Linked DNA regions of Schizosaccharomyces pombe. Changing the gene in region 1 together with any one later gene gives a genetic interaction. Each region holds a gene or a part of one and is shown in the gene's direction. Other genes may lie near its edges.

Region 1 (7,161 bases):
TCTCATCAGCGGTGATGGCAGAAACCGGTGAAGATACCTTGCTACAGCTACCTGGTTTAAGCTCAGCAATGCACACAGCAACCATATGCTTCAATAGGTGCATATAAAATTCTGCAAGTTTCCTTTCAATAAGCCATATCTTAGAAGAAAGTTCTCTAACTCTACGAGAACATTGTTCGTAATGCTCTATCGTACTTTGTTTATGTTTTCCTTTTTTCTCCTTAGCTTGGGCAACCATCAAATTCTTAGCAGCTTCTCTAATTTTGGCTTCGACAGCCAGTTTTTTTATAGAAACACCAAGTAATCCCTGCAGGTTTTTTATTTTCTGTTTTATTTCTTCAACGTCTTTTCCGGAAAGGTACACCCAACCTTTTGCATCTTTAACAGCAGACGCAACTAAAAGGGTTCGCATTTCCTCCTCACCTGTAGATATAGACACATCTTCAGAACTGCTAGCCTTTCCTACATACACGAAAGTGGATAAAAATGGATTGACTGGTCGTGTATTAATTAATATGCTTGAAGAAGGTGGTTCAGGATTCCCATATTTCTCAATTAACTCAGGTTCATATTCATCTGTACTTAAACATCCATGAAACCCCATTTTTGGGTAAAATGGGTAAATGTAAATGTTGAATCTTTTGTTTGTTTACAGCCGCATACGCTTTATTTTGTATGAATTTCGTTTCCATGACAACTAACATTGAAATGTAAATAAACAAAGCACCTAAGCCAACCTATTATCACGTTGCAATGATCGGTCGCTAAGCATTTCATTCTCCAGATTATACGACTATTAAAGTCCCTTTGCAATTTTAGGTTTGTGTATCGGTGGGCTCTGCTGTTTGTTATTTATCGACGTTGAACCGGTATTTTGATCAACATTCATTATGGTGTTTGCAAATAATCCACATTACTTTTTATATGTTAAAAGATTATTTAGAGCATACTTTAACGGTCCTACACTTACATTTATTACCCTATGTGACGAATTCGACCTACACATTTTTACTTAGACCACCTCAAAAAAAGTGATAATATTTTCAAGTATTAATAAGTCAATATTTAGTATATTCGTAAAAACTTTTGTCAAGTTCGTATAGGTTTGTAAATAATGAATGTGCAGATGAAACAAAATTTCGCTTAAAAGGTACACTACCATCCTAGAAGAGATTCCTAGGAACCTCAACACTGAATGGTCGATAACATGTGATAGAAAATTATGTGACAGTACGTTTAAACTTGGTAAAGTAAAGCCTCGTTATCATCAAATGCGACTTTGTTCAAAAACCCTTTTCGTTGTACAGTGCCCAATTCTGGAATGTGCTCAACAGACTTTGCATAATCTAATAAACTATACTGTTTATCGAGATGAACCAAATGTGGAAATAAATAGCCTACAATTTCTAGGTGATGCATGATAAAAAGCCAGTTTTGAGCTGTACGACTAGGTGCTGTGTTTAACAACTTAATAGTGTTTAGGTCATAAGTTGTTAATTCACGATCCACAGACAAAAACGTTTCAGCAGTTGAAGTTTGAACGCAAACAAGGTCAGGGAAACGTTGTACGCAGTGGAAACTAGATATTGGCATAACCAGCAACTTCGGATGACCGATTTTTGAAAAAATAACTTGCTTCTTCCAAAGGGCAAGGTTGGGGTCTAACTCTAAACTAGCAGAAAACTCCGCTAAGTACTTCCAGAGTAGATCTTGTTGTTGATGAGGAAATGAATCGAAATGATCTAGTTCACAAAGGAATTTGCATGGGTTGCTGAGAAGCTCGTTTGTATAATTAGTTTTTTCCTCTTCAGACCAAAAGAAATCAGCTTCCCTTGTCTTTGCTAAGGAGCTTAGCATGATATACCGCTGCTTATGTGCTTCTTTGGGTAAGATCAATGAAATAAGTTTTGTGCTGAAGTAGGATAATTCCCTAATGCTAATGGAATTTTGTTCTTCCTTTTCATTTTCATTTTCAGGATCGTTCAGTTGAATGAAAGATTGCCCAGTATGTTCACTGTCGAAACATAGTAGCAATCGGAGTAAACGTTCTTCTCTACAGCAACGAAAATCCCAACGTGACGAGACCCCTTTAAATTGAAGGACACTAAGTTCCTTTTCTGTATGTTCATAATTGCGTAATTGCAGGATATCGCTTTCATCAAACATAAAGCAATACTCCGCTCTTAACGTGTGTCCAATAACTAGGTTTTCATCATTAGCCAGCAACCCGTATTCATCCAAAATTTGCTTTCTTTCAAATTCATTACCCAGAGAATAGTATGGAGTTCCCAAATCAGTCATAAAGGTCAAGTTGTCATGAGGTTCCGTTCCTTCATTTTCCTCAATACTCTCTAAAGTCGGCACTTTCTTTTGACATTTACTCTTCTTGAACTCTAGAAGGTATTGAGAATATCCGGCGGGATCATCATTTTGTTCTTTTTCGGAAATTTCAACTGTTTCTACTTTTTGATTTGACAATTCTCCATTGTCAACATAAACAGATTCTGTTTCAACAGGATCACTATCAGGAGATAGGCGCTCTTTTCTATTTTCTTCATCGACTGATGAAATGGCTCGAAGGGCCAGAACACGCGGTCCATCTGGAAGACGTTTCTCATGTTTAACGACAAAGCCAGAGTTGGGAGATCCCATCAAAAACTTCCTAACAGAAATCAAAAATTTAGGATCATATCCATCAGTATTTGTTTCCAAGTCGGTTAATACCAAGTTGCTATTGACCTCCTCAGAGCTTCCAATAACCTTCAAAAGTGGAACATATGATGGAGAAGGCGCTAGTGTCTGTAATGAATCCTGCGAGTCATCATGCTCATTAGAAAATCCCAAGTCGGTTGCTTTAACCCCTAATTTATGAAAAATTTTCTTGGCAAGTGCTCCCATTTCTTGCTGTATATTTTCTAAAGATATTTTGCTTTTAGTTGAGTCAATCGTTTCTTTTTCAGAGACATTGTCAGAAAACTCCTGCTGGACTTCCTTTTCAATGTTAGTTTCATAGATGGGATGCATAGTCGTAGTATTATCAGGGTTCGTCAACTCCATATTTACTATACTATCTGAAACAATATTCTCTCCAAAGATACTACTCATTTTGGATCTTGAGGATGCTGGCAAAAGACAAGTTGAATGTTTGTTTACTATGGATCATTTGATCATTGCAGTCTGCATTTAGTCCACTGAGGAAAGTAAACAAAACTTTAAAATTCATATTTATTACTCAACAATGATTGTATTAGTATTATCTTGAACTTACAAAAATCTCACTGTATATTGCCAATTTAACTTGTTTACTTTACGAAACATCGCTAATAATGGACGCTAGTATACCTACACCTCAGTTGCAGTTCGCCATAAATTTCACCATTGAGAGTTTCTATACTAAGAAATAATATTTTCAAAGTTTTTATGAGTATTAGATGTCATTCTTATGAACAATTTGGAACAGTATGCAGTAAACTTGTCGCGACTGTAGATAAACATTCTCTAACAAAAGAATTAGATTAGAACGATTGGAACAATCGATTACTCTAGCACTTTACGAAATTGATGCAAATTTTTCTAAATGTCATCGAACAGTGACTACCAAAATCTTGCCTATCGTGGAAAAATACGCAAAAAATTGTAACACTATATGGGACTCTTCAAAAGTATGTTCAATGGCAACTGCCACTCATGATTCAGCTTGTAATTTGTATTATTTTAAGAATTAAGCTAACAGAAAACAGTTTTGGAAGCAGTTTTTTGAAGCAAGTGCCAATGTTTCACTTTCGGGTGTAGAGGAACCTGTTCCAGTAGAATCCAATCCAAGCGATCAAGATGTTATGTCTAATTCTACAGAGGCGGACCTACAGCTGCACACAAAGAATGAACATTTGGAAAAGAGGCATTCTTTTGTCGGAAAATCTGATTTTCCCGATGCAGCTGTACAAGGAGATAATACAAAAAACGAGGATTTTGTACAGTCCACTCCTAAGAAGATGGATGTCTCCTTAGAGGATATTTCGTTAGATGATGCAGCTTTGACCCCCATCCCGGCAAGGATGCAGACTCCGCTAAGAAAACCAGAAAATAATCCTCATACAGGTCGTAGTGCCCTTCTGCATCGCGTTTTAGATACAAATTGGCAAGTACAAGTGACTCCACGTGAGCCTAAGAATTTGCAATCTCAAGAAGTAATGGATATTGATTCTTCTCCTTTTGTATCGCCTTCTCCCATATCAATGAAAATGGACATGCCTTCACTTAACGATAGAAACTCTTCGCATGCTCTTTCTTTATTTGCAGAATTTGAGCATGAAAGCTATGATAGCATTAACCCAAGTGGAATGTCTCCACCTAAAACTATCCAATTCAGCCCGCATACCATGGGGGTGGGTTCTTCTCAGCAAGCCAACGAGCGAAGCCTGTCTTTGCAGAGGAAATTAGAAACCTTGAATGATTCTAATGATAGTTTTGTCAAAGAAGAAGATAGTTGGGAACTCTGATAAAGCACTGCTGAAGTTATCACCTTCGTTTCGCCTTTAGTAGTGAACCTTACTTTCGCATTTTTTCTATTTATTTTCTAAGCACATATGTCTACTTCATAAAATCCCACCTTATATTTATGTTATATAATTTTTTATTTACTGTACGTTCTATTTAATTTGGAAAATTCTTCTTTTAAGAGAATCATAAGTCACGGTATAAATACTGTAAACCAAGTAAAATTTGTATGAAAATAATTTTAAAATAAACTAAGAAAGCAAATAACTATAAAATTTTTAAATAAATTAGTATTATAGCCTAATTAATAAATCTTTTTACAGCATATCATTGAGAATATACGTTAAGACGAATAACGAGGTTTTAAAAATTCTAAAAAAGTCTAAAGAATTTTAGTGACTTGGTTAATAATAGTTTGCCTGGTTGAGCAGACAGGTGAACTTAGTATCCACCACTCTTTTTTGTGCAAGGAAAATGGGGTTTGACGTTGCAGGCTATTTACAATCATATTCATTGAAGGACTGGATTCGAATTATCGTATATGTTGGAGGATATATGTTAATCCGGCCATATTTGATGAAGTTGGGAGCCAAGATACAGGAGAGAGAACATAGAAAATCTTTATTAGAAGGCGAAGTAGATGGTACTTTAGATCCGGAAATGACGCATGGCACGAAGCCCAAAGAACATGGAGAATTTGACACGGATGATGAGGAAGAAGAAGAAAATCCTGATGCCGAATTCCGTTGGGGTTATTCAGCACGCCGCCGTATTCGCAAACAACGTGAAGAATACTTTAAGAATCAAGACAAATCTCCTCTTGATGCTTACGCTGATGATGATGAAGACATCGAAGAGCACCTTGAGGATTAATTCTAGTTGTGAGATAATATTCATTACTCCAAGCACTTTAGAAAACTTGTGTCATTTAGTTTGTTAATCATTGTTTTAATTTCTTTGTGAAAATTTGATATCCTTTTCTCTTGAAACCGTGACTGCATGGATGAAAGCAAAAGCTAATTAATTGAATGTAGGATTAATAATGCAATTTGAGAGTGCATTCTTTTCCTACGAGATCAACGAAAGTCCTTTGATTGTTTCTCCTTTTTCTTGCATTTTTAAGTCATAATATCTTTTCGTGAGCCAAGCTTTAATCAATCCCCTGTTAGGTTTAATTTCAGCGTTTAGATCAATTTATTTTTCTTTCCCACTCATTCCAGTATTTTGAGTTGAAATATTACGTATTCTAAATAATCCTTAAATGCTCTAACAAAATTTAAGTATTTGCGGTAATATTACGATAAACGCTATTAACGCATGCATATGGGTTCAAATTTGCTTATTTTGAGCTTGACATGTTACGTTTCGGGGTGGGCTCTTACCGTCCATGTTTCGATCATTTGGACGTTTGTTTAGGGGCTCTGAAGAGAGCCCTACTATCAATGATTTGACTTCAATAACCATTTATCCTCAATGTTTCATTAGTACTGGTAAAGAGTACGGTAGTGAACCCAAGCACATATCAGTTCATGTTCGCGGTTGGGTTTACGAGAACCCTGATCTCAATAATCTTGGTCGTAAAGATCGTTTAATGTTGAATTTACTTCGTAGATATGTCGGTCTGCCTCCAAAATCCAAAGAAACGGGAACATATCCTGAAAAGGATGACGAAAACACAAATTTGCAGGTTGTAGTAGACACGAAAGCTCAATTGAACGTGAACGTGAATGATGGAAAGCCTAATGATATTGAATTATCATCAACCTCTAAAACTGAGAATGATCCACCTTTGTCCCTGCATACGACTCCCGACGACTTACAGGGAAATGGCGTGAATGTACCTAACCCTTCATTGTCTGCCTCAAGGAGTTGGTATCAATCGGGGTATGGAATATCAGGATTTTTTAATCGAATTATGACTCCTTCGGTAAATTCTCAATACATTTCTACTATAGGTTTGGCCAAATGTGAGGAATACTTTGAGGAGCGCTCTTTAGCGTCTCTGCAACGAGGCTTAAAAGATGAGTTTGTTTTGGTAAAAATATATGCTACTGATAAGAATTTTGAGCAGAAAGTTGTTGCTGAATTTAACGTTGCTACGAATGTTGAAGGATATTTTATTATAGATGAAGTGATCCCGTTTTACACCACTAAAAATAACAAGTTTTCTGTGGAAGCTGTTCTTCTACAATCTACCTCGGAGGATAAAGTGATCAAAGCTTATATGAGCGAAGTACCCGTGTTAGATCGAAACGGTATTTCCATTATTTCAGACATTGATGACACTGTGAAAAATACAAGAGTTATTGAAGGGCCTAGGAAAGTAGGAGAGACCACCCTTTTAGCTCCTTTAAATACACAGACTATCGAGGGCGTTTCCGACTGGTTTCGTGTTATGACAAATCTCAACGCTACTGTACACTTTGTTAGTAATTCTCCTTGGCAACTATGGCCCACATTGTCCAAATTTTTTACCAACGATAACATGCCTTATATATCTTCCATTTATCTTAGACACTTTAATGGGGTACTCCAAAACATTATCGAGCCCGCCGCCGCACGTAAGCGTAGCAGCTTGTTAACTGCAATACGGTCTCTGGGTGATCGAAAAATCGTTTTGATAGGTGATAATGGTGAGCAAGATCTTCAAATTTATGCTGAAAT
Region 2 (7,900 bases), 830 kb from region 1:
CGAATAAAACTTTCAGAAGCTTTAAATAATAAGGAGTATTAGGGTTGGACAAAAGACGAAGGCCTTCTTGAATAAACTCTTCACCAACTTTTGGAGGTATGGCTTCACTTTCAAGGAGTTCTTGGCTCGATGGTCTTTTTGTGGGATCGTGTTGTAGAAGACAATGAATGACTTTGAACTCATGGCTAGCACGGGAAAAAGGAAAAGTGGAAGGGAACGATATAGATGGAGATCTAATAGTATCAATTATCCGAATTCTTTCCATAGAAGTAGAAAAAGTCATGCACATTTCGAAGAGTATAATACCCAAGCTATACATATCAACCTTTGCATCGTAGCGTACCCCATTACGCCTACTGAGAAGTTCAGGAGCTACGTACAAAGCTGTACCGACACCTGTTGTGAGATCTTCATCTGCTGATTGGCGATTTTTCCATTTGTCATTGTTATCTTGGTAATTTTCATTTTCTGTAGCCAAGCCAAAATCACCAAGCTTTACATTTCTATTTTCGTCTAAAAAAATATTTCCAGGCTTAAGATCTCTGTGCATCATTCCCCGACTGTGAATATATGCCAAAGCTTCTAAAATTTGTCTAAACAACCGCCACATTTCATCCACAGGAATTTTATCTCGTATGATATCTTGCAATGACAACTTTTCACAATATTCCATTTGTATGTAGAGCGTAGCATTCAAACCATTTTCTTGTGTTTTAACTGAAGAAGCTTCTTCAATGCTGCTGTCTTTATCGGAAGAACCTTCTTTATCTGAAGTATTAGAATACTGAAAGGAGATGTCAGAAGCTTCAGGGTCTTCCTCGTCTGCAGATGAATTATAATCATCTTCAAAGTGAATATCGAGGCTAGAAAGCTTATCGGCTGGAAGACTTGAAGATTGCCGAAAGTCCACTGCCATATTTAAAGATTGACTCAACGACTCACTATCGGAGCTAATTATCTCAGTTACAGTATCATTAGCTTCAGTTTCAACCCAAGCAGTATAATAACGCACTACATGTTCATGATGTAAACGAGACAAAGTCATAACTTCACGTAAAATTCTGCTATTCTCTTTATCATCGCTCAAAAGGACAAGCTTTTTAACCGCATAAAACCTTCCATCAATTCGATTTTTGACTTTAACTACTTCACCAAAACCGCCACGTCCTAAAAATTCAAGTTCTTCAAAATCTGTTTCATAACGTGAAACGCTTTTCCTGTACAACAAATCAATAATTCCATCCTGTTGACCACCATAAGAAGGGCGTGCAGATTTTGAAAAGGTACCCTGCTCAACTGGAGGAAGAACTGCTGTACCCAAACGAATGACATGACTACTTAACAAGTCAATGGCGCTAGGGCGTTTCCTTGAATCGCGCATTAAACAGCGACGAACCAAATCTTGATAAGACCCCGGAAGAAGAGGAATTACATGAGTCATAATCAGTTTTAGTGAAGAGAATTTATTCAAAACGTGAGCTCCACAAAGCATCTGCAATACTAATAGTCCAAAACACCAGATGTCAGTTTTTCTCGATGCAGCTGCAAATGATGACTCAGAAACCTCTGGGGGATACAGCCCTTCCGGTAGAATATTGGTAATGGATTGAGAATTAATGTTAAAAGGATGAGATGCGTTCATGTCTCGTAAAGTGCGTGTAAACCCAAAATCCATTAGCTTTGCAAAAGTTCTATGGCCTGAATGAAAAAGCACCACATTGTCCAAGTGCAAACTTTTGTGTGAAATTCCAAGACGATGCAGCTCAGCTAAACCTTCTAAAATATTGTTTGAAAAAGCTCTAACGGTTTCAACGTCTAAAGTAAGGACGGTTTGTAAAAGACTAAACAGAGTGAACTTCGGAGAATATTCTTGCAAAACGTACAACCTCCAACCATAACCTCGTGTCTCTCTTTCCAGTTGATACTCATAAATTGAAGCTAGTAAATCATGCCGAATAACTTTCAGACTTTCAAGTTCATATTCTAATTCCTGTATTTCACGTTTTCCGTCTTCTGTACTCCAGTAAGGCGTACTAATTCGGACGGTTCTAAGTAGAAAAACACAATCCTGTAAAGATATCTCTTTAGATTCAGGCTTGACCAAAGTCAAAGTAGAAAGGTTGGAATGCGAGATTGTATACAAAGGAAGCACTCTATTAAATGTAACCAAAGAATCGTGACAGTCTCTAACGGATATAGAACAATCAAAATAAATAGAAGTTGGGAGGGTTTCGAGAGAAGTTGTTTCCTTACTATTCGTCTTTTTCTTAGAAGAAGATTGCGGTGTTTCGTATGAGCGGCGTTGTAATTCATCTTGAATTTTGTTCTGAAGCGTTTGTTCTTCCTCAAATAAGGCATCTTTCTCCCGTTTTAACCTAAGTTGTAAATCCACTTCCGCTCTCTCTCGATCATGCTTTAGTTGTACCGCACGTTCCTCTTCCAAGCTAGCAAATTGAGAAGAGAGGTCAGACTGCCAATCATTAAGATAGTCCTGCACTATACTGGCAAGTTCAAAAATCATTTCCTCTCCTAGCAAGTCTTTTGCCTTTGTATCTAACTTATCAAGCAAAAATCGAATCTGAGAGTTTAGGACATTTTCTCCATTTTGTAACTTGATCACTGGTTTCACATAAGGATAGCTTCTTCCAAGCTCAATACAAAGATCAAGTTTCGCAATACTTTTAGAGTTTGCACTTCTTGAACATAGATGTATACAATAAACATGGCCGTTTGTAACCTAAGATACCATTGTTAGTAAATGGGTAGTGAACAAACATTAATCATACATTCCAAGCATTCCTAACTTTCAACTCCTCAAAATCATCCATAAAAATGGCTTTGAGGGCCTCAATTTCATTTTCTTGAATTTCCTTGCATAGTTCCAGACGTTTCGCCGCATCCATGAACAGCTTTTACCAACTATTGTTGCCAATAATTTACTAGTTTAATAGGAAGCAAATATATTTATTCACAATTAAACTGTTGGTTGAAAATTCGTCCTGTGTAAACTGGAAGGAAAGAAAGCAAATCAGTTTATATCAGGACGGCAATATAGGACTTGAAAATATAATTATTATCAATTCTATTTCTTTTCTTTCCTCTGAATTGGATTTTTAGATAAATTGCTTGTTTGCCGCGAATTTGCTGGAGGAAGAAGTTTCTCGCTCGTGGTATACTAAAGATGGAAGAACGCAGTATACTGGTATTGTAATGAGTATAGATTGATTTGAGCCGAATAAATGCGATAATCGGCACGGATCATACATTCTTTAGTTAAGATGTAATTTTGAGTTGGATAAGATGAATCAGACTTCAGATCTTCAATCGATAACGAACAGTTGGATATAATGATTATCTGCATTTGTATGCAAAGCGCTTCATTGTTTGAAGTGAAGCGGTCAAAAAGTTTTAACTTTTAATCGCGTTTGGTTAACTTTTCTTCATTGTTTTACCATAATCATGGATTTTTGATTAAACTACAAAGACATACTTCATAACTGATAAAATAGATACACCAGTAAACTATAACAGCGTTTCATATAATGCAATATAATACAAATTTGTAGTTGCATTCGAAATGTTATACCTTTTTTCCTCCTCTCCTTTCTTCATCATGGTCAGGAGAAGTTTGGAAAATGCAAGCACGCTAGCCTGAAAGCTCGAAACCGCGCAAACTACAGTTTATTTTCTAATTTTACTCTTTGTTCAGACTAATAAGTTATTACACTTATAAAAACAACCTATGAAAATGGTGTGAGTTAAAAACTAGAATCCTGCTCGATTACTAGTAATATGGATGGTTTGTATACTGTTGAAAAAGTCAAGGTTAAATTATTGCAAGCTACAGAAGCTACGGCAGTCATTATATTGGAAAGTAAAGCCTCTGATATACTTTGCTAGCATTGTTCATCGTACGTAAAAACGTGGTAAGGGTAGTGCCTTCATCATCGTTGACGAAGTGAGAATTTTCGAATTACTATTAGATTTTTCTCCCTTGCACGAAATTAACCTACAAAATGGAGGCAGCTCAAGCTTTTGAAAATCTCGCAAACCTAGAGCAAGAGTTTGGAAAAGCAGAAATCGAAATATGTATGTTTAATCGATTTTGCATTTTTGTAGCATAAAATTACGTTTTTTATAAAAAATGTGTTAACAATTGCTAATGTATCTTGGTGCTAGTGAAGAAACAAAATGAGCTTTTTCAACCGCTTTTTGAGCAGCGTCGTGATATTTTGAAGACCATTAACAACTTTTGGGTAGTAGTTCTGGAAGCTGCTGGGGATGAAATCAGTATGTAAAATTGTATACTATTATTGTTTTTGTTTAAACATTGTTGAAATTCTAATTAAGTTATTTCAGGCCAGTACATAACACCTGAAGATAGTGTGTTACTTGAAAAACTCGAAAATATTTATGTTGAAAGGTTTAATGAAAAGGAACCAAGGGATGTCCGAATTTCGCTTACCTTTCAACCAAACGAATATCTTCAGGACGACAACCTTACCTTGGTAAAAGAAGTGAGAATTAAAGAGGAAAAAGCAAAGGATGATGAGGGTTTGGAAAAAAAGATAACCAAGTATACTTCGCAACCTGTTGATATACATTGGAAACCAGGAAAGAGTTTATTTAGAAAAAATAAAAAATTACCTCCTAATTTTTTTGACTATTTTCAATGGACCGGAGAGGAAGAGGACGATGATTTTGATGGAGCAACACTCACAATTTTTCTGGCAGAGGATCTTTTTCCAAATGCTGTAAAATATTTTACAGAAGCCATGACCGAAGAAGCGAGTGATGAGGATGAGTCAGTAGATTTGGAGGAAGATGAGGAAGAAGAAGACGAAGAAGACGAAGAAGGGGACGAAGAAAAGCAAGGTACGAAAACAGGTCTTAAAAAAATAAGGCGAAAGCATGAATAGATGATATGATAGATGTCAATGTATTGTAAAACTAACACAAAAATCGCAGAACCACCTTCCAAAAAGTCCAAGAAGTCTAATTAATTTAAGGAACGAGAACACAGACATGAAATTTTTTTTGTCTTCCCAAAGCTCGAGGTTACCTATGGAATGATTGGTTATTCGTTTATTGGGAAGATGGTTCAAAGAATTAAATAATACAATATAAAGATTTAGTTACAGCACAATAACCAATACCAACAATGCAATTAAGATGATAATGAGTACGGTAATACAACATCCAGATTTAGAGTCTGCGCTTGCAATCGTAAAATCTTTCAACCGCTTCATACCCCTGCGAAGCTTACTATTAGTGGTCTCAATGGAATTGTCAAGAGTATCTAACAAGTCAGCCTGTTGACCCAATTCTTCGCCCATCAAAGCTGCCTGCCCACGAATGTTTCCAATCGTGTCGTAAACCCCGTCCAGCATTACGTCTTGTTGCTGATAAAGCTGCTCTTGATATTGTCGATTGACAGCATGATCTTCTTCAGACAAACCAGCTGAGGCACCATTGTCAACAGTATAAGGTTCTGTAGAAACTGGTGTGCTTGGGGCAGCACCCATCTTTAACTGTATATTGTTTAACTCAATATCCAGTTCCGAGACAAATCTCCTTCTCGACTTTAGTTCTTCTTCATCTAACCCAAAATGCTCAGAATTTTTCATCGCTATTTCCACAGCAGCTTTTAAGTCCTTCAATGTTTCGCTTAACTCATCAATGGCGTAAGTAAGCTCAGTATTTGGTGAAAGGACTCCAGAGTTTCGTGCGGCCATAAAAGAATTGTAAAGCTTTCGCACTTGCTCCATTTGATTTGATGCATCCCTATATTTCGAATAAATGTCAGTTAAATAAAATCTTAAAGCAACAAAAGGAATCTATTAAGACATTTCTGGTTCATCATTGCACAACTTACGCTTTGACTTCATAAAAGGGGTCCTCCATGTTGATGATGTAGAGATATGAGCCAATTTTCTACTTGGAAATGCTTTTATAATTTAAAGAAAAATAAGATAATATAAAATAAACGAAGCAAATTCGTATTATCAGGTATGCTGTCTGCAAATACTAAAGTACTGTGCTGATTCAGTCAAGTAACGACTTTACGATAGATAACGCTACCTAACTGCTCACTCAAAGATCACCGTAAACATTGAGTCCTTACAAAACAAGTAATGGAGAATAAATAAGAAAGCAATATCTCAATCTTGTTGAAAAAACAGCAACCTCCCCTTGTCACTATTTTGTTTTGATTCAACCGTATTCCACCGTTGTATGTTAGATTAAATGTAAACATCTAGGTAAATAAAACGTTTTCAATGGCCAAAAGCAATCTTTCATTCTAGCCTTTGTGCTAAAAAATTAATTCTATTGCTAAAAACCTAAGACTAAATGTTTTAAGAGAAACTGAACACAAAGAAAGTCTTGTGAGCTAAAACAGTACGCTATATATCGCTAGCTTGATGTAAACAAAAGACGCGTAGACACTATTAACATGTTATCAAGAACCACAACATGTCTGAAATTATAACGTCTTTGCAAACAGAGCTGAGCAATCGCCATGCTAACATGGTATCTGAAGCAGTATTAGCATTCAGTGAGCATCATGATAGTGCATTGCATTCATATTTTTTGAATGCACGTGTCAAGTACGTCCATAAGTTTCTTCAGCTAATTGACCCAACAATTCAGAGACGTGATTTTAGAAAGCCTAAGAACGACAGAGGAGAAGCTTCGTGCTTTAGATAAATTACAGCTGGATGCTTCGAAAAACCTGTCAAACCTGTTGGTGGAATATAATAGTATAAACGCAGAATTGGAGTCCGTCAATAGTAAGATCTCTTCTATTTCTTCCCAAGAATATGCATTGGAAGAATTTCAGGCACTTTCCCAGAATTTTGAGAAGAATTTAGTTCAGCATCGTCGTAATTCCCAAAATAAGCTCAAATGTGCAATGGAGGTAAACATAAAAACAAATTATATTGTCATATTACTAACCTCAATAAATTTAAAGAAACTAAAGATGATTGAAACCTCAACTCATAAAGCTATTCTCGACAATTTTTAAATTTCAGAGATCTAATGTCATACTGCCTCAAACCAAGCTTGATAATAACGAAGAAAGTCAACTTTCATCAAACACGCTGACATCGTTATATTAAGGTCTAAATGAAACGGCGCTAAATTTGCTTCTGAGCTCTATGAAACATACATAAAGAAAAGATGTTTAAATGCGTAATTTCTGATAAAGTTATTCTTCTTGGATAGCTTTTTGATATTTACTACAATTGATATTCTAAATGACTTATTATCTTATTCTCTTACGTTAACGAAGTTTAAAAAATTTATTTTGCGATATGCAGTGAGTTTTCCACTTCCACCGGTAATCATATTCCTTTGATCAGTATAAGTTACCCTTTTGTTTTGACCTTATCTCCTGAGGCAACTTTCAACACCATTCTAGCGGGTACTCAACTTTTTGCTCTCGAACATAGTTTAATGAATTTTTATCAAATTGAGTATGGACGAGGATGAGACGACTTATCCAGAGGCTTTGAGACGCTTACTCATTGAAACGCCGGCGGCAATTTGGCAACTGGACGATGAAAGTGCGCAGTGCAATAATTGTGGTGGTCCTTTTACCTGGTTTCGGAGAAGACATCATTGTAGATGGTGTGGTAAACTTTTTTGTTACAATTGCTGCAATAGTTTTGCAAAGCTTCCTGTGAGCAGTGTTTCAGTAGATCCAACTGAGGATCTTATCCCACAAGACATGTTTATTAGAGATCCTGATTTTCTTGCTAATGATAATGATGATGATAATGATTCACAAGACTCTTCATGGATCAATGTACGAGTTTGTGTCAATTGTCGTCAGCAATTGTCGGAACTAAAAGAACTGGATTTACCCTATCCTATCACTACTTGTTTGAACGATGAT
Region 3 (4,357 bases), 1.4 Mb from region 1:
TTTGACCGCTGCTGTATGCTCTTCAAACTTATGTAAAGGACGTGAAGAGCGGTAATCCCATACGAATAAATTATTGTCATTCCCTCCTGAAGCAAGCTGTCCTAGACTTCTATCCCATTGCAATCCGCATATTTCTTGTTCATGAACTTTCATCATTTCGGCACAGCAACCTGGTGCTCTTAGGTCATGATGTAAAATTACTTCGTCTTTGCCTCCACTTGTGAGGGTATTATCGTTCCATGCTAATGCTGCCACCCTTTCGGAGTGACCTTTTAAAGATCTGACTGATTTCGTAGACTCGATATCCCAGATGTAAATTACTCCTGAATCTGTCCCTACAGCTAATTGAGTTCCTTTACCTGTCCATAAGACGCTTGTGACATGATTTGTTGCTCCGAAATCATGTAATTGAACCACTTTACCACTTGCTGCTGACCAGAGATAAATGCTGCTTGCTAGTCCGACTGCCAAGACATTAGATTGGCCCCAGTCAAGCAAGTTTAAATAAAAGTCATTTTTTAAGTAAGGTGCATCCAAGATTTTATATGGAGTTTTTGGAAAAGCTCTTTTGGGCTTTTGTGGTTGCCGCAACATATCTTGAGATTGCGGTGAAATAGGAGATAGAGAATATGATTTTCTATCAGGTGTATCCAACATTTTCTTCTCAATTTTCCTTTTGTCTTCTCCATAATAGAAGGCTCTAGAGCGAGATGCTTGTGAACCGAAGAGCTCCATGCTTAGTAGCTCCATGAATTGCCTTTGAACTGCTGTCGTTAGTAATGGGAATATAAAACTAAAAAAGGTACATACTAGTGCCAGAGGTTTTGCGCCTAAGATTTGATCCATGGCTTAACACACATTCTTTGAATGACTGGAAACTAAAGTTGAACTCATTGCTAACGTTGCGAATGGGAATGAATCGGTCTCCCATTGTCAACCAATTCTTTATAAGTTGAAGTTAGTCGGGATGGAAGGGAAATGTTGAGATTCCTATTTCGTGAATAAATACCTTCCATGCTTTATTTGTTTTTACTGAGTGCTTTTTTCTGCCCGTCTGCAAGACATTGCTACAGAATTATGAAACCAGGTGGCTTGAAAAAATGCTAATTATGAGCTATAATGACTGCAGTAAACAAACATTTGCTAAATACTCTGTATAACTGCTAAAAATAAAGCTATCCTGTGATCGCCGTATTACCTAATGCTACCGTTTAAACTAAACAAATGCACTCATCAAAACAAACTGTTGATAAAAAATATCTCAATAACAATATTATAGTCATCAACCAGCAAAAGGTGATGTTATGGTAAGAGAACTCCTAAAATATGATGTTCATAGAAAAACAACAACAATGATCAGTTGACCACGATGTGCCAAACCCATTGTTTTCTGAATGTTTATTATGATCATCAGATCCCGGTCTTGTAAACTTATTGCCAAGAACCCAATTTCTTCAAAATGTTCAATTAATTAAACATTTATTTTAGTTGTTTTGTAACAGAGTAAATAGTGCTATAGATTCGTTCAAAAAAATTCCAACTACTATCGAATGCAAATACTTTTTACCATGTATGTGAGTACAAAAAAAATTTTCTCCTCATTCTCATTTCAATTGATTTATTCCTAACTATTTCTGTATTTCTTTTGGGATATTCATTTTTAAAGACAAATCTTCGTATGCTACTAATTTTTCCAATTAAATACTATTGGTATATTTCTGCATTTCTTGTTTATTTGATTAATAGTACAATTTCATATTTTAGGACGATAATAAATATGAGTTTTTTTGTACTAAGTGGTAAGCAAAAACAACATTTTTTGTATATCATTAATGTTTTCGTTGTACTACTTAGCATTGCCTATAAGGAAATGCAGCGTGTCGATATATCCCTTAATAACAAACCATCTTTATTTCAGATTTACACTCCTCAGTTTGTGTCCCACCCTTCCTAAATCGCTGTGCTAGCAAACTGCGAATTAAAGCTCACGAAGCGTTTTGTACGATATTAGCGATTGATAAGTTGAAGTGATTACTCAATTATAGTACTTCAAAAATATAATCTTTATGGATACCTCCGTATTAAATCCGGAACTTCAGATTCATGGATTTATTGGCGTGGATTCTTTGCAATCATCAAGGAAACGAAAGAATGATTTTGATGATTTTCCACTTAACAAAGGATTGAAAACAAATAACAATGACTATTCTGGATCAATAGAGCCTAAGTTTTCTCCCGCGTTAAGCATTAAAGAAGATGGTAAAAATGATCGCAATTTCGAGGCCTTAATGTCTCTTCAAGCCCAAGACTCCAACCTTTCTGAACAAAATACATCCATTCATTTGGATGCTTTAGCCTCCTCTTCTATAGCTTTAGGAAATGATAATGTGGATTCGAGCGCCTTCTTGTCAAAAGTTAACAAAGGTGTGAATGCCATGAGAAACTCTACTTCGAATCAAACAAATGATTCTATTTTAATAAGCCCTTCGGAAATTACCAATATGGATCCATTTTTGAAAGGTAGTGCTAGATGGACTGCGGAACATTGGGACTATTTAGAACGACGAATGCAAAACTTCTGTCAAACCTATTCATTAGACCATACACAGGTAGCCGATTCTCTACACGAAAAAAGACTTCACGGGCCACTCTCTTCTTTAGTTAAATTATTGGTTCAAGAAATGCCTAGTTTTACCAGAAGAACAATATTACGGCACCTCCGGGCCCTTTACAACATCCCAGGTTATGAGAAATATAGTAGAAAAAATTCTTCTGGAAGAGGGGATTTCGGGGTCCAGGAAACTGCCATTATTTCCCAAGAAGTACATAATTTTATTATGGATCAAGGATGGTCCGAGTATCAATTTTGCAATCAAATTTGGGCAGGAAAATGTCCAAAAACAATCAGAATGTTTTACTCTAATTTATATAAAAAGCTTTCCCATCGTGATGCCAAGAGTATTTATCACCATGTACGACGTGCATATAACCCGTTTGAAGATCGCTGTGTGTGGAGCAAAGAAGAAGATGAAGAATTAAGAAAGTATGTGTTTATATTTTTATTCAAAAATCATTAACGTTTAGAAATGTTGTTGAACATGGTAAATGCTGGACGAAAATTGGTCGTAAAATGGCTCGAATGCCTAATGATTGTCGTGATCGTTGGCGCGACGTAGTACGTTTTGGCGATAAATTGAAACGAAATGCTTGGTCGTTGGAAGAGGAAACTCAGTTATTGCAAATAGTTGCTGAACTCCGTAACCGTGAAGACTTAAGTTCTGACATTAATTGGACGCTTGTTGCCCAAATGTTAGGTACTAGGACTCGTTTACAGTGTCGTTATAAATTTCAGCAATTGACGAAGGCTGCTTCAAAATTTGAACTTCAAGAAAACGTTTGGCTCTTAGAAAGGTAAGTATTGACCTACATAATTTCTCTTGCTTGCTAATATTTTAATTTAAGGATTTACGACTCGTTATTGAACAATGGTGGTAAAATTCATTGGGAAAATATCGTAAAAGAAGCTAATGGACGATGGACACGCGATCAGATGTTGTTTCAATTTATAAATTTGAAAAAAATGATACCAAGTTACGACAATCTTCCTCTTCTAGAAGCCACGAAGTCAGCCATTGATGACTTTAAAGTGGTACTTTCTGGATTCTCCAATTGACGTCCTTACAATTTTTTGAACGAAAAAATTTGTTTTAACTTACTTAAGTAACTTTGTATCTTTTTACAAGTCCTTATTAAAATGACTTAATTCTTAACGCAACACCTTCATACTGAGGATATGTAAAGTCGCCTTACTACTACCGCTCTTTGCATTTCTAGTTATTGGCGAATAGTTTTTGGAAGAATTCATAATTTCCTTAGCAATAGAGGATTTTTTGTAAATTAATAATTAAAATTGAATTGTTTGCTAATTCCGTATGAATAAATTCCAACTACCAAAAACTTTAAAGTCTTTATGGCATCACCCACATAATGGAGAGTTAATAAGCATAAACGGCTGGGTACGATCTATCCGAAAACTAAAAAATGTTTGTTTTGCCATGGTTTCTGATGGTACATGTCAACAAGCCCTTCAAGTGGTGACTTCGCCTGAACAGAGTAAGAAGTATGGTTGAGGAGGAGACATAAAATCTAAATTATATGATATCTTTTTCCTACTAACATTAATTTATTATCAAGGCTATCATATGGTGCTAGTGTGAATATTGAAGGCCAGTTGGCAGTTTCTAAAAACGCAAAACTTGGATTGCAGCAGTATGAACTGTTGGCTGAGAAAATAAAAATTTACGGCCAGATAAATGATGATGTATGTGCTTTCAAAATTGAATATACTGCAAGTCTA
Region 4 (8,681 bases), 1.0 Mb from region 1:
TCTTTGCTCCTCGATTGTTGGATTCGGTGACTTGACAATTGACGAATTTTCCATTACGGAAGTTTTTTTATTTTATTTCCCTAGTATGATAATTCAAAAAATCAAATAATAATCCAAAATGAGAATGGCTATTGTTAGAAATGAAACAATCAATAAGAAAGCAATTTATAGATGTCGATACGGGTTTTGTAATGACCAAGCTTCTTAATCTCTAAGTCTCAATTTAATTACAAATTTTTTGATTTTTTAATGAAAATATAATCTGATTGTTCAATAATTAAAAGAAAAAATGCTCATCCGTAAAGAATTCATTAGAAAGGTAATATGTGAAAGGTTAGTCAGCTTTTCTCATCATAAATCATGGAGAAGAGAAGTCACCAAGTTTGCTTCATGAGAAAAAGTACCAAGTTTTCATCCCACATTTTAATTTTATAAACTGTATATATATATATTTATATTTCTGCATCAATTTTGTGAGTGCGCTTCTCCTTTAATTTGAAATACCAAAACACTACAATATAGTTTAAATTATCAAACATTTAGCATAAGAGTACATTACATTACTTTCTTTTGGCTTCAATGCTTCTATTTGCATAATCTTAATAGCAGGATATAATAAAATATTGTCCCTTGTCCTTGTATATTTAGCTAATATATGAGGTACAATAATTAGAGACGATTTGTAATAAGCAAACATAATGTTGACTAAATAAACTCATCAAAAGGATATTTTGATTATGAATTGGTAGGATAATCGTTTTTTAACTATTAGCTAAAACAGACGTTTGAGAGACGCTAAAGCTCTGCGATTACCGAAAGTGCTTCAACTAGACGAATTCCAAACAAAAAAAATAAAGAATTCTTGCTTCAGATATTTTTAAATCTTAATGATTTTACCAATAGCGCACTGACATTGACGCTTCAGTCATATACGTACTATGAAGTTATGGTGCCAAGACCAGTAATTACGAGAACAGCATACCTTTACACAAAACAATTAATGGTATAACAACCCACGAAACATCATTTATTGATTAAGCTATTCCTTTTTTTATTCTTCATCCTCGAGTAAGGAGTATGCAATGCGGTCCAAGTCACGTTGACCTTGTTGTGAGATACGACGGCCACCGTTGTCGGACTTCTCGAGGACACCGATTTTTTCCAAACTTTGAACGACTTTGCGTTGGACACTGCCAGATCCATCACGGTGATGAGAAGGACGCATGCCACGGTTGACGGAACCACCATAGACCTTGCAGAGACGACCAACACCGACTTGCTTACGAAGGTAAATGTGACGAGCAATAGCGGCAGCACGAACGTAGTACCAATCAGGATCGTACGGAGCTAATTCCTTGTGAGTACCGGTCTTGACAATATCAATCCACTGAGGAGTGGTCATTTTACCTACGGATCAGTTAGAAACTTGCTTTATAGAAAGAAATGAGTGAGTAAATGTTAATAAGCTACAAGTTCACTGTCAATTTCACACGTATGCTAAACAATCTTATTCTGTGATCAGACAGATGAAAACCTTCTACAACCAAAAGTTCCCATTAACAGCTCAATCTTCTACCTACCGGAGCGCTTTAAAAAAGCAGCATAAGCATTGATAAACTGCTGAGCATCGACGTCCTTTACGCTAACACCTGCCATTTTACCGTTACTACTGGGTTAACCGTTAATTTAGCTGGATTGGAATGCTATACCAAATTCGATACCAACTCATAAAAAGTGACTGCTAAATATAAAAGTAACTATTTGGGGATTTAAAATACATAAATAACTTGTATATTTTATTTTTAATAGTTTTATTTTATTTTTCTTGTATTTTTCTTGGTAATTTTTTCATTGTTTACATTTCAAGCTTCCCATACTTGTGTTCTTCTTAATAGCTTCACACAACTAAAACAAATTCATTCCTAGAATCAGTATTACGATACTGCTATGAAAGAAGGGTCTTCAATTTCCGTTGCAGGTAAGAATTTCAAAAAAATCCTTCGAAACTGACCATCAAGTTCGTGTACGACCGTTTACTGAAAGAGAAAAGGGATTGCTCGCGGAAACTCCGAAATCCAAAGAATTTCTTGGAGATGGAAGTTTGGCAGTGTCAAATACATCTTCGAATACTTTTTGTACGAATGGAATTCGAAAAATTGTGCGTGTTTTAGACGATAACGTGCTAATTTTCGATCCTCCTGAAGAAAATCCATTGGCCAAAGTCCAAAAATCGCTATTACCTGCAGGGAAACGCTTTCGGGATGTTCGATATGCATTTGATCGTCTTTTTGGTGAAGAAGCCTCACAGGAGGATGTTTACAAGGGTACCACAGAGCCGTTGTTGGACAGTGTTTTGCAGGGATATAATGCCACTGTGTTTGCATATGGTGCTACAGGATGTGGTAAGACACACACAATCAGTGGTAGACCAGACGATCCAGGCATTATTTTTTTAACGATGAGGGCATTGTTAGATAGAGTTGAAGGACTCAAGCGAACGATGAACGTCGACATTAGTGTCTCATATCTTGAAATATATAATGAAAAGATTCGAGATCTTTTAGTACAGGATCCCCTTTCTATGGAAAAACCAAAATCGTTAAATATTTGTGAAGATGCTGAGCAAAACGTATCCGTTCCTGGTCTCTCATATTTTACACCAACTAATTTGGAAGAAGTAATGGAGATTATTATTCGTGGAAACAGTAATCGAACCATGTCACCAACAGAAGCCAATGCTGTTTCGTCACGCTCGCATGCCGTTTTACAGATTTATATCACGCAAACTCCGAAATCGGGTGAGAAGCAGGAGGAATCAGAGTCCCAAAATTCCCATAAAGTCCGTTCCGTATTCTCTTTTATTGATTTAGCAGGCTCAGAGAGAGCGAGTGCAACGAAAAATAGAGGCAAACGTTTAGTAGAAGGAGCAAACATCAATCGGTCTTTACTGGCATTGGGAAATTGCATCAACTCGTTGTGCGAACCTCGTCGTCGACAACATGTTCCATATAGAGACTCGAAGTTGACTCGTCTTTTAAAGTTCAGTTTAGGCGGAAATTGCCGCACGTGTATGATAGTTTGTATCTCACCGTCGTCGGAGCATTATGATGAGACACATAATACCTTAAAGTATGGCAATCGAGCCAAAAACATCAAAACGAAGGTTTCGAGAAACGTGGTGAGCGTAGATAGGCATGTAAGTGAATATGTACGCACCATTTACGAATTACGACAAAAGGTTAGCATACTTCAAAAGAGGATTGCTGAAGAGTCTAAGCAATTGGCTTTAAATAAGGAGGTACGAAAAATTTCTTCTCGAGAAATTAAAATGTTAGATGCTAGAAGCATGCTCAAAAACTCATTTGATGGTTCAAGGGATCTGCAGAAATCACTAATTGAACATGTACGTACATTGAGAAGGATTGAAGATGAAATCACATTAACAAAGATGTGGATTTCCATTGCTAAGGAAAGTGATGCTATGTCGGGGCATAATATAAAATCTGTCGAAACAAGACTTGCAAAGTTATACGATCAAAGAAGCTTGATTACTGCCAAAGTTAATCCAGAAGAAATCTGCAAAACTTTTCAAAACAGTATTTCTCATATAGTGTCTTCGTTCAAAGGTGAGGGGGCTGATATGTATGCTGACATGTTGCAAGACGACGTCGATTTGTTGAAATCTATTATCGAAAACCAAATTCTTGATGCCAAGCATGAGTCTGAAACATTCTCTTCAACGTCTCGTAAGCTTATCCAGAACCTATTCCTACTATTCCCCCTGTTACCAGGAAATGCCATTGATGTTAATGAATCCCTTGCAAGGGCCTTTGACCAATTGGTTGGAATAGTACCTTCAGAGCCAACCATTCAAGTTCCCAATTTAATTGAAAAAGGAAAAGCACCTCTATTATCAATGTTTGAAATACCTCGCTCTCCTAGTCGATTCAAGGCTCGCTCACCATCCAAAGCTGCTCGAGTTCTAAAGAAGCCTTTGAAGAAACGAGTTCGATTTAGTGAAGTTCCCACTACTAGTTCCGTACCTCCTGTTGAAATAAAGAATAAAGATTCGAAACCGAAAGTGGAAAAATCTTTAGATAAACATAATATGAACAACGATCGCTCTTTTCTTGTTCCTTCGAGAGATGCCCGAAATAGCTTAACGTCATTGTCATTGCATTCTAATGTCGCGAAAAACAAAAGTTCTCATTCTTCCAAATGGCCAACTCATACTCTGAGTCCTATAATTACAACTGCACTGAAACAACCAGTACGCCGTATATCGCTTGTTTCACAACCTTTACAAAAAACTGGCGGGACTGAGAATACTCCTAATGCTTGAAGAAACCAACGAGATCGGTTTTCACTCAAATAGTTGGTATAATTTTTTTTGGAAGGACAACATCAACTCCTCATTGGCTTTTCTTCATTTTCATTTTTAAGCTACTTATGATTTAGCATTTCATCATTTTTTTGCATTCCCCTTTAGACACTGTTTGACATATCCATGTATCTATGAACCATAGTCGCGCCGTTCTTTTATTTGACGAATTTAATTTATAAGAGGCCTAATAATTTTTGATATTCTCATGTCAAGGTGAAAATGCTTTTGTTTTGTGCACTGTTCATCAATTTTTAATTTAATCGGGATAATGATTGACCGTTTATGCCAATTTGTCTGTAAGCAAGAAATCCCTATTTAATAGCACTTTTGAACAAGGCGTTAAAGTTAACGATCATATATTTATATGGACTTTGCATCAATTACTCGTTTCACATTTTGCATTCCATTTTCTAATTCGGTGCTTTTCTTTTAATAATATTTGTAATTGAAAAAGTAAAATAACTTTGAAATTGTGTATGATTATTCATCTTGCTTATTCAGCTAGCGTTTTGTATTAGGGACGCCTTTAAATGTAAACATAAGTAACATTGTTACTTGATATCGGCGTATTTCATCATGCCTGGCTGAACGATTTTATGCTCAGCATATACCTCTGATTTCTCATTTGTATAAAATAGCGCTTGTCAAGCAAAGAAAAATACTCAAAAATTAACAATGTTTATGCTAAAATCATTGGGGTAAGTGCTAAAGTCGCAATTGATGAAATAACAATACTAACTTAAGATCTAGGAAGTACATATGGGGTAACACGAATTCGACCGAAATTGTTCAAATCCCTTATGGGCAGCTGTATTCGGTGCATGAAAATTACAGGGAGTGCATGTAAGTTTGAACGGAATGAGATAAATCATTAATATTTGTATTGGGTTCGTACAGCTAACGATTGTATAGGTTCAAGGATGCAAGTGCGTCAATTCGACGAACAACGGCGGAATTTCAGTATCAGCTTGTCATACAAAGAGCATACGAAGAAGGAGAAGAAGAGCTAGAAGATGATGGAGACGAAGCTGAGGACGAACAGTCGTTTTTACTAGACGAAAAATTGCACTTGAGATTTGACGTAAATAAAGACAGCATCACGATAATGTGGGATAACCCAGACTTTCAAGATGGCACGTTGTACGAGTTTACGTGTGAGAATTGTTTACAAGAAGGCGTTGCTTATACCTTTGAAATGGTAGCTTTGCAGTGTATGTACGAACGCAAATACCGACAATCTCACGAAAAGGCTACGCTTGCCGACTTGGAGCAATTTAGCAATCCCATTACTCGACCATCAAAGGAAGTGGACAGTTTAGAAAATATTGTCACCAAGTTGGATTTGGAGTCCGAAGACTTGATGCGTTTAAAAAAGCAAGAGCAATTGGATGATGAGATTGCAAAAAAATATCTTTTAGGACAACAGGAAGCTGAAGAGCCTCTAGTTCAACAGCAAACCTCGATTGTTAATCCGGAAAAAGAAGAGGTCACCAAAACTGAAAATATCAAGAGCCTAGAGGGCGAGCTAATGGGAACAATAAGTGCTGAATTACATTTATTCGATGCAGTTGAGGAGGTTTTTATTTTACAAGATCCAAATGTGGAAGCGAGCGTATTTGACTTGGGAGATTGGAATTATTGGTTTACTATAAGCACTGAAGAGAAGACATGGTTAAGCCAGTCTGTAGATGCAGACATGAATCCAGTATTTTCTTTTGAACATCTTTCGTTTATTTGGAATTATTTTGACGCCAATAGTAATGCCTTTTCATGGTTGTTACGATTCGATTCGCAAGTTCGCATGGAGCAATTTCAGGAACTGCTAATGCGTGCACTTTGGGAAAGTCTCAACCAACAGCGTTGGCTCAAAATTGATGATGAACAGCGTGATTATGTTATGGAAACCTTTCATGAAGATGAAGAATTAGAAGATAGTGAAGACGAGGAGTTTGCTCGTCAACAGTTGTTAAGCAGGAAGGAGGAAGAGGAAGAGGAGGATGAGGAAGCCAGCGATTTCGAAGATTCGTTTGCAGATTTTAGTGACGGTGAGGCTGATGATTTGGATGAATCAAGATGGCGAAAGGAAGCTGCTAAAGAGCATAACAGTTTGTTAGCGGTAGGATATAAAAACGATAGATCTTACGTCGTCCGAAACAACAAAATTGGCGTTTTTAAGCATGTCGACGAAAAAGGGTTAAAATTCCAAACCGCTTTGAACAATCTTTCAACGCCTAAGGGCAAATCACTCCGACCTAGCAAGCTGATGTTACACAATCAAGATTCTTCGATTTTATTCCAAACTGAAAATGCGCCACATAGTCTGTATCATATGGATATTGAATATGGAAAGATCGTTGACGAGTGGAAAGTCCACGATGATGTTCCTCTCGTTACATTTACACCAGACAACAAATTCGCACAAATGACAGCTGAACAAACCTTGATTGGTCTTTCAAACAATTCCATCTTCCGAATTGATCCTCGTGTGGAGGGCAATAAACTGGTTGCTGAACAGTTCAAGCAGTATGCTACTAAGAATGACTTTAGTTCTGCTGCTACAACTGAAAACGGTTATATAGCAGTTGCTAGTAACAAAGGTGACATCCGTCTATTTGATCGTATTGGTGTGAACGCAAAGACTGCTTTACCAGCGCTTGGTGAGGCGATTATCGGGGTGGATGTCACAGCGTCTGGTGATTTTGTGCTAGCTACCTGTAAAACATATATTTTGTTGATTGACACCCGTATCAAAGAGGGTCGATATGCCGGTCGTTTGGGTTTTGAGCGTAATTTCGCCAAAGATAAAAAGCCAAAACCTAAACGACTACAGCTAAGTCCACAACATATAGCGATGATGCAGAGAGAGCTCAAGGGAGGTGCATCCTTTACACCAGCTAAATTCAATACCGGAATTGACGCAAAGGAAACAACTATTGTATCCAGTATAGGCCCATTTTTGATCAGCTGGAACTTGGATCGTGTTAAACGAGGATTTACGGATAGTTATAAGATTCGAAGATACGATGCCAATGTTCAAGCTGAAGACTTTAGGTTTGGAACCGATCGTAGTCTGATTGTGGCTCTACCTGACGACGTAGCTATGGTGGACAAATCATCGCTGCGTAGACCAACTCGGGAATCTATCTGCACTCCGGTAAAAAAATTACGATCCAAGCACGACATTGTCAATGCACCATATTAAAATCATAAATGATGGGTTGTATATCGTTACTTCGTTTGATTTGAACAAGACTTTAAGTGCACCACAATGCTCTTAATGTCATTTTTTTAATGTTTGTATTACCTGTCTGCTCTTTTTGTCATTTTTTATGATCTCCTTGGCTTTGATTTTTTTGAGCTTGGGTTCGATTTTACCTTATTCCTCCCGCTTTGGGTGTGTGCGGGCCATAGAACGAAACGACTAATGATGCCTAGTGTATTGTTTGATACTTTCGTTGTTACTATATGAAGTTGATGGTTGGCTTATTATGGGAGCATGTTTTCTTTTTTTTTGTTTTGCATATGCATACATATATAAGTAGAGCCCAGCATTATTACAGTCTAGTTGGATTTTTTACTTTCTCGTCTATCTTGTACATACATAAATTACATACTCCCTTGAGCGTTTTTCACGGACTTTGGATGATCGATTTAGTTTGCCGTCGCAAACGTGGGATTTGTTTCGTTTAGTTGTTATAGTTAGTTTATTTAATTTAATATAATCACAATTTCTTTGTGCACGTAAAAAGCAGTTCAAACATTCGAATTATCTTTGGTCGGGCAATCTGTACGGGATTTTGGGTAGGGTGATTAGACAAATACATGTTTTAGTAAACTATGAGATTTGAAAAGTGTAAATGGGGATATAAATAATTTTTTTTGTAACATTTTACACTCAAAATTATTTGCTTATCACAAGGAAAGAGATGCTCTTTACTCAAAGCAGTGACAGTGTAATTAAACATTTAATATACAAAATCATTCGTTACACTATTACAAATCCTCTACAATGTATATGTCTCATAATACTTATAAACAAACCAAATAACGGTTAATTAAAATATCAAATTTATTTATTCAATTATTCAAATAACAAGTGAATTGAAAAATTCTCCTTTCACGGCGCCAAAAATAAAAGCAAAACATACAGACAAAATAAAAGTTTGCAGCCAAAAACAAAAACTCTTCCATCATAAATTCGTTTGGGCCAGATATCTCATGACTACCTAAGAATAATAATATAGCCTCCTCTTGCTAACAAAGTCAAATCAAACTTAGTAAATAAAATAAAAGATAA

Evidence for each region.
Region 2: mutations in ask1 (region 1) and ccp1 together harm fitness more than expected from each alone (negative genetic interaction), as found in Schizosaccharomyces pombe (3 studies listed by BioGRID, with this or other methods).
Region 3: mutations in ask1 (region 1) and reb1 together harm fitness more than expected from each alone (negative genetic interaction), as found in Schizosaccharomyces pombe (2 studies listed by BioGRID).
Region 4: mutations in ask1 (region 1) and klp6 are lethal when combined (synthetic lethality), as found in Schizosaccharomyces pombe (3 studies listed by BioGRID, with this or other methods).

Annotation. Positions count from the first base shown.
Region 1 is NC_003423.3:1,559,846-1,567,006, reverse strand, and holds ask1 (DASH complex subunit Ask1), read left to right. Parts: upstream 1-3,355; 5' UTR 3,356-3,442; coding exon 3,443-3,459; intron 3,460-3,514; coding exon 3,515-3,662; intron 3,663-3,740; coding exon 3,741-4,499; 3' UTR 4,500-4,681; downstream 4,682-7,161. Other genes in the region: septation protein Uds1, read right to left, coding at 1-604; protein meu25, read right to left, coding at 1,237-3,105; protein trafficking protein Pga2, read left to right, coding at 4,972-5,370; app1 (actin cortical patch protein), read left to right, coding at 5,885-7,161. UniProt on the Schizosaccharomyces pombe protein: Component of the DASH complex that connects microtubules with kinetochores and couples microtubule depolymerisation to chromosome movement; it is involved in retrieving kinetochores to the spindle poles before their re-orientation on the spindle in early mitosis and allows microtubule depolymerization to pull chromosomes apart and resist detachment during anaphase.
Region 2 is NC_003423.3:2,391,678-2,399,577, reverse strand, and holds ccp1 (CENP-A histone disassembly chaperone Ccp1), read left to right. Parts: upstream 1-3,996; 5' UTR 3,997-4,016; coding exon 4,017-4,089; exon of another isoform or gene 4,090-4,179; coding exon 4,180-4,290; exon of another isoform or gene 4,291-4,359; coding exon 4,360-4,875; exon of another isoform or gene 4,876-4,968; coding exon 4,969-5,003; 3' UTR 5,004-5,135; coding exon of another isoform or gene 5,136-5,784; 3' UTR 5,785-5,875; coding exon of another isoform or gene 5,876-5,904; 3' UTR 5,905-6,009; exon of another isoform or gene 6,010-6,020; intron 6,021-6,071; 3' UTR 6,072-6,106; downstream 6,107-7,900. Other genes in the region: eIF2 alpha kinase Gcn2, read right to left, coding at 1-2,737, 2,787-2,903; tlg1 (SNARE protein Tgl1), read right to left, coding at 5,136-5,784, 5,876-5,904; protein mug20, read left to right, coding at 6,475-6,608, 6,652-6,919, 6,974-7,027; pib1 (ubiquitin-protein ligase E/phosphatidylinositol(3)-phosphate binding protein), read left to right, coding at 7,481-7,900.
Region 3 is NC_003423.3:191,252-195,608, reverse strand, and holds reb1 (RNA polymerase I transcription termination factor/ RNA polymerase II transcription factor Reb1), read left to right. Parts: upstream 1-1,999; 5' UTR 2,000-2,066; coding exon 2,067-3,043; exon of another isoform or gene 3,044-3,084; coding exon 3,085-3,411; intron 3,412-3,462; coding exon 3,463-3,673; 3' UTR 3,674-3,857; downstream 3,858-4,357. Other genes in the region: ubiquitin ligase Mfr1, read right to left, coding at 1-764, 811-931; asparagine--tRNA (Asn) ligase Slm5, read left to right, coding at 3,933-4,120, 4,195-4,321.
Region 4 is NC_003423.3:528,358-537,038, reverse strand, and holds klp6 (kinesin-8 family plus-end directed microtubule motor Klp6), read left to right. Parts: upstream 1-1,890; 5' UTR 1,891-1,947; coding exon 1,948-1,978; exon of another isoform or gene 1,979-2,018; coding exon 2,019-4,342; 3' UTR 4,343-4,846; downstream 4,847-8,681. Other genes in the region: rhp14 (DNA repair protein), read right to left, coding at 1-54; rps1902 (40S ribosomal protein eS19), read right to left, coding at 1,052-1,407, 1,581-1,656; WD repeat protein, Vid27 family, conserved in fungi and plants, read left to right, coding at 5,060-5,082, 5,135-5,227, 5,297-7,586.